2 linked regions of the Astyanax mexicanus genome follow. The protein of the gene in region 1 binds, or shares a complex with, the protein of each later gene. Links are inferred from orthologs where the notes say so. Each region holds a gene or a part of one and is shown in the gene's direction. Other genes may lie near its edges.

Region 1 (8,249 bases):
GACTTAGCATTTTATAACATGACTTAGTCTCTTATAATTATGACTTGCTATCTCATAATTATGAGTTGGTAAAGGACCTTTTTCCATAGTTTCGTCACTGTGTAAAACAGATTTAATGACAGGCTTTTTTTTATTTTTTTTTACTCTTTTAGCAGCAAAAGTACTTCGACTCTGGCGACTACAACATGGCGAAGGCCAAGATCAAGAACAAGCAGCTGCCGGCGGCGCAGACAGAGAAGGCGGAAATAACGGGGGACCACATCCCAACGCCTCAGGACCTGCCCCAGAGGAAACCCTCTCTGGTGGCCAGCAAACTGGCTGGCTGACCTGCCCTGTCCACCAGCGTCTGGCTCTCCGCAATGCAACATGCTGCTCTCTCTCTTTCTTTATTTTACTCATTGTCTGCCATGTTTAACACTCCACACTCTCTCAAAACAGATGTGTAAAATGAATACACTGGCGTTTCTGTCTTTGCTGCATCTGTAGCCTTTGGAGTCTGAACACACTTGTACTAGATCTCATTGGGCTGTTACTGTACCAGCCCAAACACAGGATAGGATGATGCTTTTAACACCATCTGTGTGTTTTATTATATTCAACGCAGGCAGTGTGTTCACATTTGTAATACAAATGTACATATATTAGCTTGATCTCGTCTGTTTTAAAGTATGTTAATCCAGTGATGATACAAATAGTGTATTTATTATCACATCAGTTTTGAGAGTCCCTCACCCTCTCACTTCATTTTCTGTTAATACAGATTCATATTCACTTTTACCTCCATCTACAAAATACACTGAAGATAGACGTATGCAGGTAGTCGTACCGGACAGGGCGCCGTGGTATTGCAGTCAATGGCTTGTGTGTGGGGGTGGTAGGGGGGATACAAATGTCTTTATAAAGATTTATATGTGCAGTAGGTGATGTAGATGAAAGTGTACATATTTGCTTGTGTTGAGAGGAGAAAAAAAAACAGCATTTTAGTGAAGTTTTGTTTTTATTGCACCATTCCCAAAGCTTACAAATGACTGGAGCAATGTGCTTGAATGATTGATTGATTAATTGAATACAACCTCTCATAAGCTGTTCTGAATCTGCATCATGAGTTTTCGTTTTTCTGTTTGTGAACATTTCAGCTTTAAGGACCCAAAATGGACCATACTGCTGTTGAACGTCCATTTGAAAGTCATCTGGCACTGTTTATGTAAGGCTGCTGTGGACTCGCCACCTTTGTCACCACCATTTCTGTTAAAAATGGCCTAAACCAATCACAATTCTGGTGTAGAGTTGTCATCGCTAACCTGAAGGCCAAACCAAAATTAAGTGGTAAGGATGGGCGGTATGGAAACAGTGAAATATCATAATTTTACAGTTTTACAGAGGCTTGTGAACAAGGGACAGACCAAACATACCAGCAGCACAGCAGTTTTTAAAAAGGAGATAAATCATGATTTCTAGCACGTGTTTACAGAAATATACAATATAAGTGAAAACAATAGGCAAAGAAAGAAATAATTGGTCAACATGAATGAATACAGTAATGGCATAATGAGCTGACCATTGAACTTCCTATCACTATGCAGTTACTATAGACCGGATTTTGTTTACAGGCTCTGTATAGTTGGTCTGAATTCTATTCGACTCCATGCAGTTCTTCTAATACTACACTCAGTAAAGTGTACTGTGACGTAACTAATTGCGAGAGTAACGATGCACCATCATAACGCCCACCCCTAACACTCATGAAAACGAGCTTCACAGCATGACCCGACCTAATTTGGAACAAGGCCACAACTGGGGCCAGACCAGTTGTAGAAAAAATACATTTCTCACCGAGGTCCTCTTTGTCAATTTCATGAAGCACTACACACTAAACCACCTGGGCCAGGGTGCACATGGGCATCGACCGCAGTCACTTTTGTGCCATTTGATTTGTAAATAAAATAGTTTTGCAAACCTGTGCATTCTCACTTTGTCCTTTTTCATATATAATTATTTTGTTTCAGTAATTCAGTTTATTTAACTGTAATCTATTTTAAGTGTTTATTTTTTTGTTGATTATGGCTTACAGCTAATGAAAACCCAAAAGTCAGTGTCTCAAAAAACCAATTGGTACTTTTGGCAGTGTGCCAAGTCCTGCTGGAAAATGAAATCCGCCATCTCCATAAAAGTTGTCAGTAGCAGAGGGAAGCACGAAGTGCTGTAAGATATTGTGCGAAAGCATAACTGCACTGACTTTAGACTTGATAATAAAACACAGTGGATCAACACCAGCAGATGACATGTTTCTCCAAACCATCACTGATCATCAGTAAATTTTACATTTCATTTGTAAATCAGGGGATCAGAGTCTGGAGGAAGAGTGGAGAGACACACAGTCCAAACTGCTCGAGGTCTAGTGTGAAGTTTCCACCAATCAGTGATGGTTTGGAGTCATGAGACCTGCTGGTGTTGATCCACTGTGTTATAATCAAGAAAAAAAACACTAATTATGACGCAGTTGGTGCACTTGAGGTGGAATAGAAGGAAAATAAATGAGTATTTTACCGCTTTCTATCATTGGCACCTTTACTGCTCTACTGTTTAAGGTGGAACAAAAACAACTGGACTACATAACAACATAATTTTAAAGGAATTTTAAGAGTGTGAAGGGGGGGGGGGGGGATTAGGGGAGTTTAAACAAGTTTTAGACAGTAGACATCTATCAAATAGTGTTCACAGAGTTTTAATTGATGTACATTTACAGTGGTGCTTTGAAGCTTTTGAGATTGTGGACTGAGCTGCTGCACTCTTTTTATATATATATTTTCCAGTGGCTCTGGATCCTAGATTATTTATTAAATCACCCAATGGAAAAAAATGATCACAAATTTACCTGACTTCTACAAAGAACCTAAGGTGACATCATGTGAAAAAATAATAATGTGTGGCCATTACTTATTTAGGCGTTAGAATAAGATCCTAAGGCATGGAAACAAGATAATTAAGTCGTAGCCAGAGAATAATAAAGCTGGCTTTTCTGTAAATTAATGCAGAGGAAGAAGACTGCATATTACATCAAAGCTCCTTTAATCCAAGAATAATCTTAAATTGGAATTAATTATGGTGATATTTTAGAGTCTCATGCAGTGAGACATGGCATTATTCTAAATAAAAGACACTTAAATCTCATACTAAAAGCTCACGGGCTCAGACAGTATGCAAATCCGATCTCAAATATCAAAATACACAAGAAACAAAAAACAATTCCTGAATTTAAATAAATTATATCTACACTTAATTTTATTTTGAACATATTGTTGTATGTTTCAAAGTTCAAGCTTAAAACCTGAATTTTCTGTTTCCATTCTTTCTTTACAAATGAACTAAATCTCTGTCCCTGTTTTTGCTCTATAATATGGTGCCTATCTAACATACAAAAATAAACATTTTATGAAGCTAAGAGCAGGTTTAGCTCATTTTAGCCCCCTGCTGATCTTCCTCATGGGCACCTCATTGCAAATCATTCTCTCCAGCCTGCACAGAAAGAGCACCTACATACAGAGCACATTTCATTTGATTTCTACATTGTAGATTCATATTAAAGACAAAAAATAAACAATTAAGGGACATATGGAAATACGTAGTAAAAAAAAAAATTGTCCTTCACAATTCCCTGATCTAAACCTAAACAACTGAGATGGTGATTTGAGATGAGCTGGAGCTTCTGAACAATAATAAAATAAAAAGAAATGAAATAACATTCTGCATGTAGGACTTTTATCTATCATGTTTGATACATCAGGATTTATTGCTCACAGGTCACAATGTGCTGTTAACATTTTCCTCAACCAAACTGTACAATTTGTATTTTTCTGATGCCTGCAGTGCATGGAAAATCTTTTAGGTTAGCATATACTCTAGAGTGTTAGGATGCAGTACACACCTGGGACACAGCTTAGTTTTTATACAAAAATGTTATACAGAGCCTTGGTAGGTTACAGTTGTTCACAAAATAGAAACAGACAAACGTTTACATTTTTTTTTGTTGTTGGTTGTTTCTTAAGTCAAGTCAAATCAAGTCAAGTAGTTTTTATTGTCAATACTGCATATGTACAGAACATAGCCTACAAAGAACTGAAATTACGTTACTCTCCTTCAAAAAAAATACAGCAAGTACAGAAAATAAGATTCTAAATATAAAATATAAATATATGGGAGACACTATATTTACAATACAACAAGGACACAAATAGACATACGTGAGACAAAAGCGATATTGCAATAGTTATAGAGGGTGATTAAGAGGGAATGACAGTACCAGTATAAACAGAACCTGTATAAACATTAGTGCAAATATAGTGAATAATAGCTTACGGCTGGTGGGGTGTAGGAGTGTGTAAAATTCTTAAAATTCAAATGAAATAAAATTTCTAATAAATGGAAGGAAATGTTGTATTTATGTTATTTTATTATATATATATATATATATATATATATATATATATATATATATATATATATATATATATATATATATATATATATATATTTTTTTTTTTTTTTTTTTTTTTTCATTTTTTAACCTTGTAACCAGCACAGGTTGGATTATATCACAGGAAAATTATAATTTTTCGTTCCTAAAATTCAGATTGTGATGAGCAGAAATTATTATTATTATTTTTTTTAGAAAACTGGAAAATACAACAGCATTTAGAATTATTTTTTTTCTTTACTATATCAAATGCTCTGATTTTGTAAATAACACAAGATGATGGGGTGAGCACCAGGGGGCAGCCTCAGCTCATTTTACCCCCCCTCCTCCTCCTCCTGCTGCTGCTCCTCCTCATGGGCACCTCGGTGCACACAAATCATTTTCTCCAGCCTTAACACACACTCACTCACACAGAGCCGCGGCAGAGGAGCGATGAGCGACCCGAGCTGTAGATCAGCGAGCCCGGCGCTGGACTGACTGGAGGCTCGGGGAGAAGCGTCAGGCTGGAGAGAGGAGCTCGATCAGAGGCCTGGATGCTCCTTTAACCTACCGAGACTGAGCTAAACACACACACTGACGCTTTAATGGCAACAACCACCATGGCCGCGTCCGAGCTCTACACAAAGGTAACAGCACTGAGTGTGGAGAGAGGGAGAGAGGGAGGGGGCTCTGGGGGGTTTATACTGGGGGGCTGAGATCTGAGACTGTCTTCAGTGGGTTTAAGAGGAAAACCCAGTGATCCTAAGGAATGAATGAACGGATCTGTGGTGTGGTGTAGCAGCCCTGTGCTCGAGCCTAATTTTTCTACCTGATAACGATGAAATGATGCAATGTCAGAGAGACTGGGGGTCTTTCTGTGGCTGCTGACGCTTTGAGATGCTGTAGGGTGGGTTTCTAATGGGCTGGGTGAAGTGTTTGGTTTGGTCAGGCTGTGATTTGTCCTTCATATAGGTTATATGAGGCTGAATGAAGTGCGTAGGTTTTATAGGGTGTTGTGGATACGATCTCTGCTTATTAATATGGATTAAATGTGTAAAATAATTAAATTAATGATATATTTAACGACGTATATTACTTAAACCCCTTAAGCCTCTGTTGATGGATACTTTTATTGTATTTTCACGAAGCTACAACAACAGATCCGAGCTGAGAATGCATTTCTGGAAGGCCTCGGCTGTGAGTGATGGTTTTGTGTGTGTGTGTGTGTGTGTGTGTGTGTGTGTGTGTGTGTGTTTGGTGCTGGATGGATGCTGGCTGGAGGGACTGCAGGGAAGGAGGGGGATGCTGGGTACCGCGGATGCTGATGCTGCTGCTAGCATCATCGGCCAGCAACGTCACTTCGGCGTCGTGACGTCACCCCCTTGTTTTGAAACGTCTTGCAGCCCAGCCCTGCCTAGAGATAAAAATATACAGCTCTGGAAAAAATAAGAGAGCACCTAAAAACGATGAGTTTCTTTGATTTTACCAAATTGAAAACCTCTAGAATATAATCAAGAGGAAGATGATTTATCACAAGCCATCAAACCAAACTGAACTGCTTGAATTGTGCAAAAAGCAGTGTGTGAGACTGGTGGAGGAGAACATGATGCCAAGATGCATGAAAAAAAAAAACTGTGATTAAAAACCAGGGTTATTCCACCAAATATTGATTTCTGAACTCTTACAACTTTAGCTCTGCATCTTTTTTGTTATTTCAGCCATTTCTATTTCATTTCTATTTCTATTTTCATTTTTATTTGGAATTTGGGGGAAATAGTAGTTTATAGAATAAAACAACAATGTTTATTTTACTAAAACATATACCTATAAAAAGCAAAATCAGAGAAACTGATTCAGAAACAGAAGTGGACTCTTATTTTTTTCCAGAGCTGTATATACACATGCACATCCAGTACCAGTCATAATTTTGGACACATCTCTTCTCATTCAATGTGTTTTCTTTTTTTTATGGTTTTCTACGTTGTAGATTAATATCGTCGCTGTCCGATGAAAAGCACGTATCTCCAAAAACCGGACTTTTCAGGAAAAGCAAAAAACGTTTTTAATTAAATAATATTGGGTAAAATAAACAACAGATAACGCTGTTTACATATAATTTAGTTCTAAAATTCATATATATTATTTTGATTTCTTAAGTTCTATAGTTTTATATGTTAAATGGACTTACGTGCTTTGTACACGGCAAAAAGGACATACGCGGGTGTTCCATACGCGGGCGTTACAGTGAATTCCAAAGAGTCACGTCCACCAAGCTGCGCAGTTTGAACGCTCTCCTTACACTCTACCGGTATAAATCATGTTTTAACGGGAGCAGAGTCTAGTATTACTGTTATTGACTAAAAATCACACTGAATCCTTAGTGTGACTTATTGTTTCCATGCTGGTTTAATATCTGACGCGCGGAAATGCGCGATCAGCTGATCCTCATACCCCAAAAGAGACCAAACATTACATTAAAAAAAACTACGAAAATATTTTTCTACAAAACGGGTTTTCCCCAACACAGCATATTTAAACAGTTGATTATATTAGCAAGACCTGGACTGTTTACATATTGTTTTGCACAATACCTTACTGCCTTTTAAAGAGGCAGGATGCATGCTCCTGGTGTCCTCTGCTCCCACCTTTTGGAATCAACCAATGCATACATCTTTCACAAATCAGTTTAGCCAGATAACTAGCTAGGAAATTCCTACTGAACAATTCTTAACACTAAAATCTGAATAATTCAGAAATATAATTCAGAAATACTGCATTGTAAAATATTTGTTATATTTTAATCTATTCTGCATCAAGAACACAACATGACAGATATTTATAGATTTATTAAGAAATGTTTTACTATGTCACTTAGATACCTTTCAACTAATACAAATTTAAAAGTTACAGACAATGTAATTTATAAATCAAGTTATTATTTACTGTACGAGGAAACGTCAATCATTTAATAAAAACCTCATATAAATTTCAGATATGTACAAGAAAAAACATACGAACCAACAAACATTTCAATAGAATAACCTGTATCAACTACTAATAAAATGTTATATCTCTTTTTGATAAATAACTAAATTCCATGTAGATATTGGATACAAATCTGAATTACTTGTGGGAAATCATTAGGAAAACACATAAATCATGTTTTGAGACTCACAGTCAGACTCAAGAAAATGGTCTGTGGCTTTTTTTTTTTTATGTACACACGTGAGCCAACTCCACATTAAACAGTGAACCTGCAGACTGGTGATGCATATCACTCATAGTTAAGTGAATCATAAAATCCATGAAAGTCCTTGGGAATGAAATTCTTAAGTTCTTGGAGGTGCTTGTATTTCAGCGCCTTGATTCTCAGGCTGGATGTGTACAGTGGTAGCACTGTGGTGTCACTGTTCCTCTTCCTAAGAGTGGGTGAGAGGTAAGGTGTCCAGTCATCTGCATGGACAGTTTTGTAGTCCATGGTACCATCCACGTTGTACCTGAGAAAAAGAGGGTGAAAAGTAAGAATGGGAAAGGGGCCAGGAGATCAAAGGAAAACAGAGGGAAGAGAGCAAATGGTAAAAAACACAAAAAGTGTGCAAATTTATAACAGGTAAGTATAACAGGTAAGCATCTAAGGTAAGTATAACAGGTAAGTATAACAGGTAAGCATCTATGGTAAGTATAACAGGTAAGCATCTATGGTAAGTTTAACAGGTAAGTATAACAGGTAAGCATCTATGGTAAGTATAACAGGTAAGCATCTAAGGTAAGTATAACAGGTAAGTATAACAGGTAA
Region 2 (7,907 bases), on another chromosome or scaffold:
TATGGTCTGAGGCCAAGATTAATTTGTTTGGTTCAGATGGCCTCAAGCATGTGTGGCGGCAATCAGGTGAGGAGTACAAACATAAGTGTGTCATGTCTACAGTCAGGCATGGTGTTGGGAATGTAATGGTCTGGGGCTGCAATGAGTGCAGCAGGTGTTGTGGAGTTACATTTTATTGAGGGACACATGAACTCCAATATGTACTGTGCAATACTGAAGCAGAGCATGATCACCTCCTTCCAGAAACTGGGTTCCAACATGATAATGACCCCAAACATACCTCTAAACCGACCACTGCTTTATTGAAGAGGCTGAGGGTAAAGGAGATGGACCGGCCAAGCGTGTCTCCAGACCTAAAACCAATAGAACATCTTTGGGGAATCCTCAAGCAGAAGGTGGAGGTGTGCAAAGTCTGGAATAACCGCCAGCTCCCTGATGTCGTCATGGAGGAGTGTAAAAGCATTCCAGTGGCAACCTGTGAAGCTATGGTAAACTTCAAGAGAGTTAAGGCAGTTCTGGAATATGATGGTGGCCATACAAAAAACTGACACTTCAGGAACTTTTATTAAGGGGGTTATTCACCTTTGTTGACATTAATGGCAGTATATTGAGTTACTTTGAGGATATAATACATTTACACTGTTATATAAGCTGCACACACACTACTTTTCATTGTGTTAAAGTTTCATTTTGTCAGTGTGGTTCCATAAAGAGACATACTTAAATATCTGCAGAGGGTGTACTCACTTTTGTGATACAGTGTAAGTATCTAGGCATCTGGCTGGATGAAAAACTCTCATTTAAAACTCACATTAATAATTTAGTTATTAAGTGCAGACAGAGACTGGGATTTCTTTATCGTAATAAATCTTGTCTGCCTATGTTTGACAGAAAAAAACCCCACAAGATTCAGTCTGTCATTCTGTTCTAAGGTTTATTACTGGTGACCCGCTCTCACCACTTTACCAAAAGTAGGCTGGTCCTCCTCGACGGGAAACTGGCTTATATTCATTTATAACTGGCTCTCAGGCCATATGCCATTTAATAGCTTATATCTTATATGTTTTCTATTTATAACAGTAATTAGCAGACCACCTCTAGTGACTGGATCACCTGTCAGGTTCCTAAAGTTTTTACTGAACTGGAAAATCTGCTTTTAGCTACAGAACATTGTGTGAGCTGGAATTCATTACAGGAAACTCTTAAACTCTTTTAGTTTCTAACCACCTTCAGACAGGCTGTACCTGTTTTAGTTAAGTTTTTCTTTTATTATTTATTTATTTTGTTTGTTTTTGTTATTCTATTTGTTTTATTGATCATTTTTGTTTACCTTTTAGCCTCTTCATTTGTTTTATTTATGTTATTCATTTCATCCTTTTGTTCATTTTATTACCTGCTTTACTTTTGGCCTTTTACCTTTTTATTTCATTTATTCTATCCTCTGTTTTACCTGTTGTTTTATTTTCATCACTTACTTTCTTTATAATCTTGATGTTTTTTTTAGCTACTTCATTTTTTAGTCCTCTATTTCTTTATTTGTGTTTATATTTTATTGTTTTGATTATTTATTTTGGATTGTATTGCTTTACATTTTAACATTTCCATTTATGCTTCTGTTTTGAATTATTTTTTCTTCGTAATTAATTGTTTTATTTAAGCTTAATTCAAGCTTACATTGTTTTTTTTTTTTGTTTTTCAAATGCTCTTACAGTTTATTTTTTTTATTGTTTTGTTTATAAAGTCCCTTATTTCCCCTGATTACATACTTGGTTTTAATTTTAATTTATTTTTCAGTCCCTTTAGGTTGTAAATGCTCGGCTGCATTGAAAATAAGGGTTACCCTCAATGATTAATTAATTCTGTTCTGAGTCTTTGAAACTAAAGGTGAAAAGGCCAGACTGAGACATTGAAGTAACATTTGTGTAGGTGCTGCATAGGTGCACTTTTGTACGGGTATGCAGAAAGAGGCACTCAATAAAACACATGAGTTTCCATAAAAGGTGTCCATAAAAGAGTTAAGTTGTAATATTTTACAAGAGGAGATTATTGTTTAAACTGGAGTCTGGAGACTGGGTAACTATTTGATCAGGTAGCAGGGTGATGTGATCATACACTGACAAACTTGATGCTGATAATTATGCATGTATTAGTATTGTTTTATAGAGGTTGGTATTGATCTTTGAATCTTTGACCTGTGAAGGACCACAACCCCCTATACTTTCGCCATTATTGATCAACAAAAAACTCCTTACAATGAACTTTTATTACTTTAGTTAGTTAAATTAGCCTTTGAGCTTCAATGCAAAACATACCCTAAACACGTCTTGGCTGACAGAAGTAGAGGAAACTGAATGTTTTATTTCACACTAAACTAACGCTTTAGTTCAATACTGCATGCCAACCTAATACAGTGATAGAATATTGCCACCTTTTAGTAGATTTAATTTAGCAGCAAACACCAGCATTGTTGAGCTGCTGGAACAGAAGGCCATGGCAGTCTCAGGAAGTAATACTGTTTCCAGTTCTGCACCCACACTCCAGCTTATTTATACTGAGGTCTTTTTTAAATAAAATAAATATTTTTCAAACTTTTAGTAACTTATAAACAACCTACCATGTTGGTAGAAGCATCTGAGTTTTTAGTATTCCTGTTAATAAGTCAATTTTGCTATGTATTATAGATATAGAATCTGTTGTCTATGAGACACAAAGTTATGCAGTTTAGAATATTTAACTGGACCAAAGCAAATTATATGCTATACTTTATCAATTTGGAGACGATTAGGTACACACTTAAGGGGTCAACAGATAGATTTACATCAATATGGCAGTCCTTTTTTAGTCATGTTGAGGCTTTGAGCTCAACTAAGCACTAAGCAGTGTATGCGCACATTGATTTATCTAGGTAAATTTTTTGTTACTTGTATATTTTTGTGTTTATGTATTTATTTATAGATTTTCCTTTATTTTTCTCTGTAGCAAGTGTTATTTTTTTAACAATAAGTTAAAAAAAACACAAATAAATAAAGATTGTTTAAAAAAAATTGCATGCTTTATTTGCAGCTAGTTTTCCATAGTAGACTCAGTTACTGTGGTAAAGTTAGTTTTATGTTTGACATACTCTCTACAAATATATATTTCTTACATATTACAAGCCGTAAAAAATAGTCAATTTATTTCTATTTCAACTTTATTAGTCAAATAATTGCATTAAACTCAATCATCGTTAGAAGAAAATATTTAACATAAAGTTGGTTTGAATTGAATACTTCTAACGATGGTTTGAGCATTTATTTGATAATTAATTTAATATAAAATAAATGAACCGACTACTTAAAATAATAATCAGTGTAACATGTAAGGAATATATATCTTTACATGACAAAATTGATTTGAAATTATTACTTCTAACGATAATTGAGTTCAATGCATTTTTTGACGTTTAATTCATTATAAAATAAATAAACCGACTAATTAAAAAAGTAAGCCTTGTAACATGTAAGGAACATTTATTATAAAATAAATTAACTGACTCATTAAAAAAGTAAGCTTTGTTATATTTAAGGATGATATATATATATATATATATATATATATATATATATATATATATATATATATATATATATATATATACAAGAAAAAGTTGATTTGAGACTATTACATTCATTGATAATTTATTTGACTAATAAAGTTGTGTAAAATAGAAATAAATTGACTATTTATTTTGTTTACGGCTTGTAATATGTAAGAAATATATATTTGTAGAGAGTATTGTTGTTTTGCCATCATGGAATTACATTTGGGACAGTTTAATAGATTTGTTCGTTTTTTGCTTTTTGCGTCTGTAATTGTGCTACGGTCTCCAAGAGAGCAGCACGCTGTTGGAAGGAGGAACGGGGTGAGAGCGCTCTCGTTGCGGCTGTATTTTGGTTAAATATGATGTAATGCAAACAATCTTCAGTAAAAACTGTGGTTGTAGTTTGTTGTGTTCCCTCATTAAAGCAAGAAACCACAATTATATTGATGAATCTACATTTTGATTAAGGGGGAGGAAGTCCGGAATTCTGAATCTCTCACGAATGTCAAAAATAAACTCTACCACAGTGATGCAGTAGCTACCAGTTTTCCACTTTTACTGTCAGTCTGTGTTCATGCTTACATTAGTATTACCATCTTACTCCTGATCTTTATTCTATTCTCGTTTTCTACACTCTATCACTGTTGTAACATTTCTATGTCCTGACCAGAGAATGTTACAGCAATCACATGGGCATCTGTTTTAACTGTAAACACAAAATAAATTCGAACAAATTTCTTACATTTTATTGTAGTCTTTCTGTTTTTCCTTTTATTCAAAACGTTTAAATAGTGTTTTCTTTAATTTCCTTATTTTATCAACATTCTATCCCAGTTTAAATTAAACTTGGAGCATATTTCTGTTTTTCCTTTTTATTCAGTGTTTGCACAGCGTTTACATGCGGCACAGCCCGCCATCTACAGGCGGCCGCGTGTAACTGCTGTGAGCATTTAAAGTGGAAAGACAATCCCAATAAGACGCTGGTAAATAAAAAAACTTCAGCGTCTTGGCAATTTAGGTAATTGTACAAAAGATTGTTATTTGACCAGGTTGCATCACTCTAGTTCAGTAGGTCTGTAGTTTAGTGTTTAGTGTTTTACATGTAGTTCTTATTTTCGCCAGTAGGTGGACCCTGTTGCACTAGTGTACAATCCTACACAATGTGGTTCAGAGAGGTATTAGTATGACACAGCCTTTCATTTAATCAGTCTCACCGTGTGCCTCTTACTGTGTGCGTCCATTGAAAGTGAGTAAGATTGTTTTTGCCTGTTTTCTTTGTTTAATCTAAGATCTAAAGCTATATTATTATTAAGGTTGTCAAGTACCATGATTCTTTGTCAAGTATTATGCTTATTTGAGTTATTTGGAAGATTGAACTACTAGTCAATTAGCATTAGCTAATCGAGGCCTGTAGGCCTGTACGTGACATAAAATATAGTCTGTGGCTAATATTTCTTACTAAAATGCCTTCTTATTAGTTAGGTATACTTTGTTGAGTAAAATACTGGAAGTATTAGTGTTTAGTTTCTATGTATTTATGTTGTACATTTTATATCTGTGAATTGCTACGTTAAGCATTGTGTAAGCTCTTCATTAAGTGTATTCTCTACTATTTCAAGCTTTTCTTATATTTCTTTTTATAGATAAACCACACACATACACACATGTACAGCCAGGATAATGCTCATGCATTATTAAAGTCAAGTTGTATTCTGGAGCTGGATCTGAATGTTCTTTCATCTCACCTCACCTGAACATTATAATTGATATCCTGACCCGATCCCTGAAGTGATTGCAACTCTTAATACAAACCAGATATAGTCCACGTTACAATTTTGGTCCTTTGAGCCGGATTCAAGCAACCACTACAGTCAATATGTCCAGGTCACAAGAGAGAGATGTCAGAAACAGAAACAGGCCACAGAGATCGAGACACATTCCATCCTATCTACAGGATTATGAAGTCAGCTACACCCCAAGGTGTCATGTACTGGATGATGAGCAAAGATCTTCATCTGAAGTGTTTAGATTTCTCCGCAGCATGAAAGAAGAAAATTGCCAACTATGCAGAGATGTCCAGCGTCTTACAGACATGATCCAGCAATCTCCTGGGCAGGCCTCACAACCTCGGTCGCTGCATAAGCATGGAGAGGACAATACATCAACTATACCAGCACCTACAAGTAGGCCGACGCCATCTAGTGGTCATAAAGACCCACGTCAGCTAGTAAGTGCCCCACTGGTGCACAGTGATGTTCCTCCATCTCTACAAGGTTGCTGCTGTGACTCTATTGAGGACCTCGAGTGCAGCTTGCAGAAAGCAGGATTGATCACTAAAGATGACAATTCTCCTGTGACCTCTCGAAGTTCATCTCCCTGCTCCAAGCTTCTGGATTTAGACGTTGAGGATTGTCCAGAGAAGGAACCATCACGTCACAAGGACTTTAAGCCACACAGAAGAACTTGTGATAAGTCAAGTGATAGCCAACGGCCACGTCCCAAAGCAGCATCCATTCCAGGTGCCAAGTATCATTCGGAGTATGAGGGTGAATACGACAGCTACGACAAGCCCTATCATCATGACGACAGATATCACCGCACTTACAGTATCCCTCTACCTAAGTCAAGTCATCCATACTACAGTGATGATTGTAGTCCCTCTAAGCCCTACCGATCAAGTAGCCTAAGAGCTCACCGTGAAAGCCGTTACTATGGGCCTGAGAGGGGATGCTCTCCTGATTACAGAGGTTACCCTGATGATTGTGATGCATCTCATCATGGATATGACAGAGAGAGATATAGAGACAGATACTCACCTGACCAGCAGTACTATTCTTCACGTTGTGCTTCTCACTATGACAAACACCCAGCTCTAGATGTCTATCGTGGTCCCAAGCCAACTATCCCTGATTTTAAGTCCGAGGACCCCCGTGAGTTTGTCAGATTGAAACTAGCCCTGGACAATTTACTCCCTTATGATGCTCTAGAGCACTTTAAGTTTCAAATACTCACAGACCATCTTAAGTGTGAAGAGGCACTACTTATAGCTGACTCCTACACTAACAGTCCAGGCCCATTCACAGACACTATAAGGGCACTCACTGAGATGTATGGTCAACCACAGCAGTTGGCACTGAAGAGGATTTCAAATCTGATGGACGGACCAAATATCCGTGCTGGGGATGTTAAAGCTTTCAAGTCATTTGCCCTTCAGGTTCGTGCTTTAGTGGGAATGCTGCAACAACTTGGAAGTCAAGGATGGACAGAACTGCGGTGTGGTTCACATGTCTCTCGCCTTTTAGCCAAGTTGCCACATGACCTAAGAGCAAACTTTCACAGATTTGTGAATCCACTTAGGCTTAATTCGTGTTGGTGGTAGGCTCCGTAGATGTGACAGCCTAAGTCCAGATGTTCTGCATCCCATTCTCCTTTCCTCCTCTCACACGGTTTCCAAACTCCTGATTCAGCATTATGACCACCAGCTACACCACCCTGGAGCGGAGCGTGTTTTTGCAGAGCTGCGCAGGAAGTATTGGCTATTGAGAGGCAGAGAGGCAGTCAAGAAACACCAGCGTAACTGTGTGGAATGCAGGAAATGGAGAGGCAGCCCCCAAGTTCCACGAATGGCAGACTTACCCCCCTCCAGTTTGCGACTTTTCCAACCCGCCTTCTATTCAACAGGAGTCGACTGCTTTGGCCCTATGCTCATAAAGGTGGGACGACGCACTGAAAAAAGGTGGGGTATCCTGTACAAGTGCCTTACAACTCGAGCTATCCATCTCGACCTGCTACCGAACATGGACACAGACTCGTTTCTGATGTCACTCAGACGCTTCATAGCTCGCAGAGGAAAGCCCCATTAGATCCTTTCTGATCAAGGCACTAATTTTAAAGGAGGAAGCAAAGAGCTCCATGAAGCCTTCCATGCCATGGAACCTGCAGTTACGAACCACCTTGCTTCTCAACAGATTCGCTTTCGTTTTAATCCCCCCAATGCTCCACATTTTGGTGGATCATGGGAGCGAGAAGTGAGATCTGTTAAGAACGCCCTCCGCACCACTCTAGGAGCTCAGATTGTGCCAGAGGAGGTGTTAATGACTGTCCTCATCGAAGTAGAAGGCATAATCAACTCTAGGCCAATGGGCTATGTTTCCTCTGATCCCAGACCCAGTCACGCCCAACTGCTTGTTGATGGGGCGGCCAGACTCCACACTTCCACAAGTGGTCTATCCTGAGTGTGAACTGTTAAGTCGGAAAAGGTGGCGTCATTCACAGGTGTTAGCGGATCACTTCTGGAAGCACTACATTCACCACTTTCTGCCCACCT

Evidence for each region. The genes of interacting proteins can lie anywhere in the genome.
Region 2: the proteins of myo5aa (region 1) and spire2 are in contact, whole or in part, in a crystal structure (PDB 5JCY), measured with the Homo sapiens proteins. The link is inferred for Astyanax mexicanus from reciprocal best matches to the Homo sapiens genes MYO5A and SPIRE2. Residues at the interface, in NP_001369276.1 of Homo sapiens: Asp1551, Val1554, Arg1555, Thr1559, Ile1562, Asn1563, Lys1566, Ser1597, Gly1598, Leu1615, Thr1616, Asn1617, Phe1618, Asp1619, Leu1620, Ala1621, Glu1622, Tyr1623, Val1626, Asp1629, Leu1630, Gln1633; in NP_115827.1 of Homo sapiens: Arg404, Pro405, Arg406, Val407, Leu408, Leu409, Lys410, Ala411, Pro412, Thr413, Leu414, Met417, Glu418, Met420.

Annotation. Positions count from the first base shown.
Region 1 is NC_064416.1:41,740,712-41,748,960, forward strand, and holds the start of myo5aa (unconventional myosin-Va), read left to right. Parts: upstream 1-4,833; 5' UTR 4,834-5,058; coding exon 5,059-5,100; intron 5,101-7,284; exon of another isoform or gene 7,285-7,727; coding exon of another isoform or gene 7,728-7,950; intron 7,951-8,249. Other genes in the region: arpp19a (cAMP-regulated phosphoprotein 19a), read left to right, coding at 153-326; uncharacterized protein LOC111196951, read right to left, coding at 7,728-7,950. UniProt on the Homo sapiens protein: Processive actin-based motor that can move in large steps approximating the 36-nm pseudo-repeat of the actin filament. Can hydrolyze ATP in the presence of actin, which is essential for its function as a motor protein. Involved in melanosome transport.
Region 2 is NC_064417.1:11,048,185-11,056,091, forward strand, and holds the start of spire2 (protein spire homolog 2), read left to right. Parts: upstream 1-4,618; 5' UTR 4,619-4,826; intron 4,827-7,907. UniProt on the Homo sapiens protein: Acts as an actin nucleation factor, remains associated with the slow-growing pointed end of the new filament.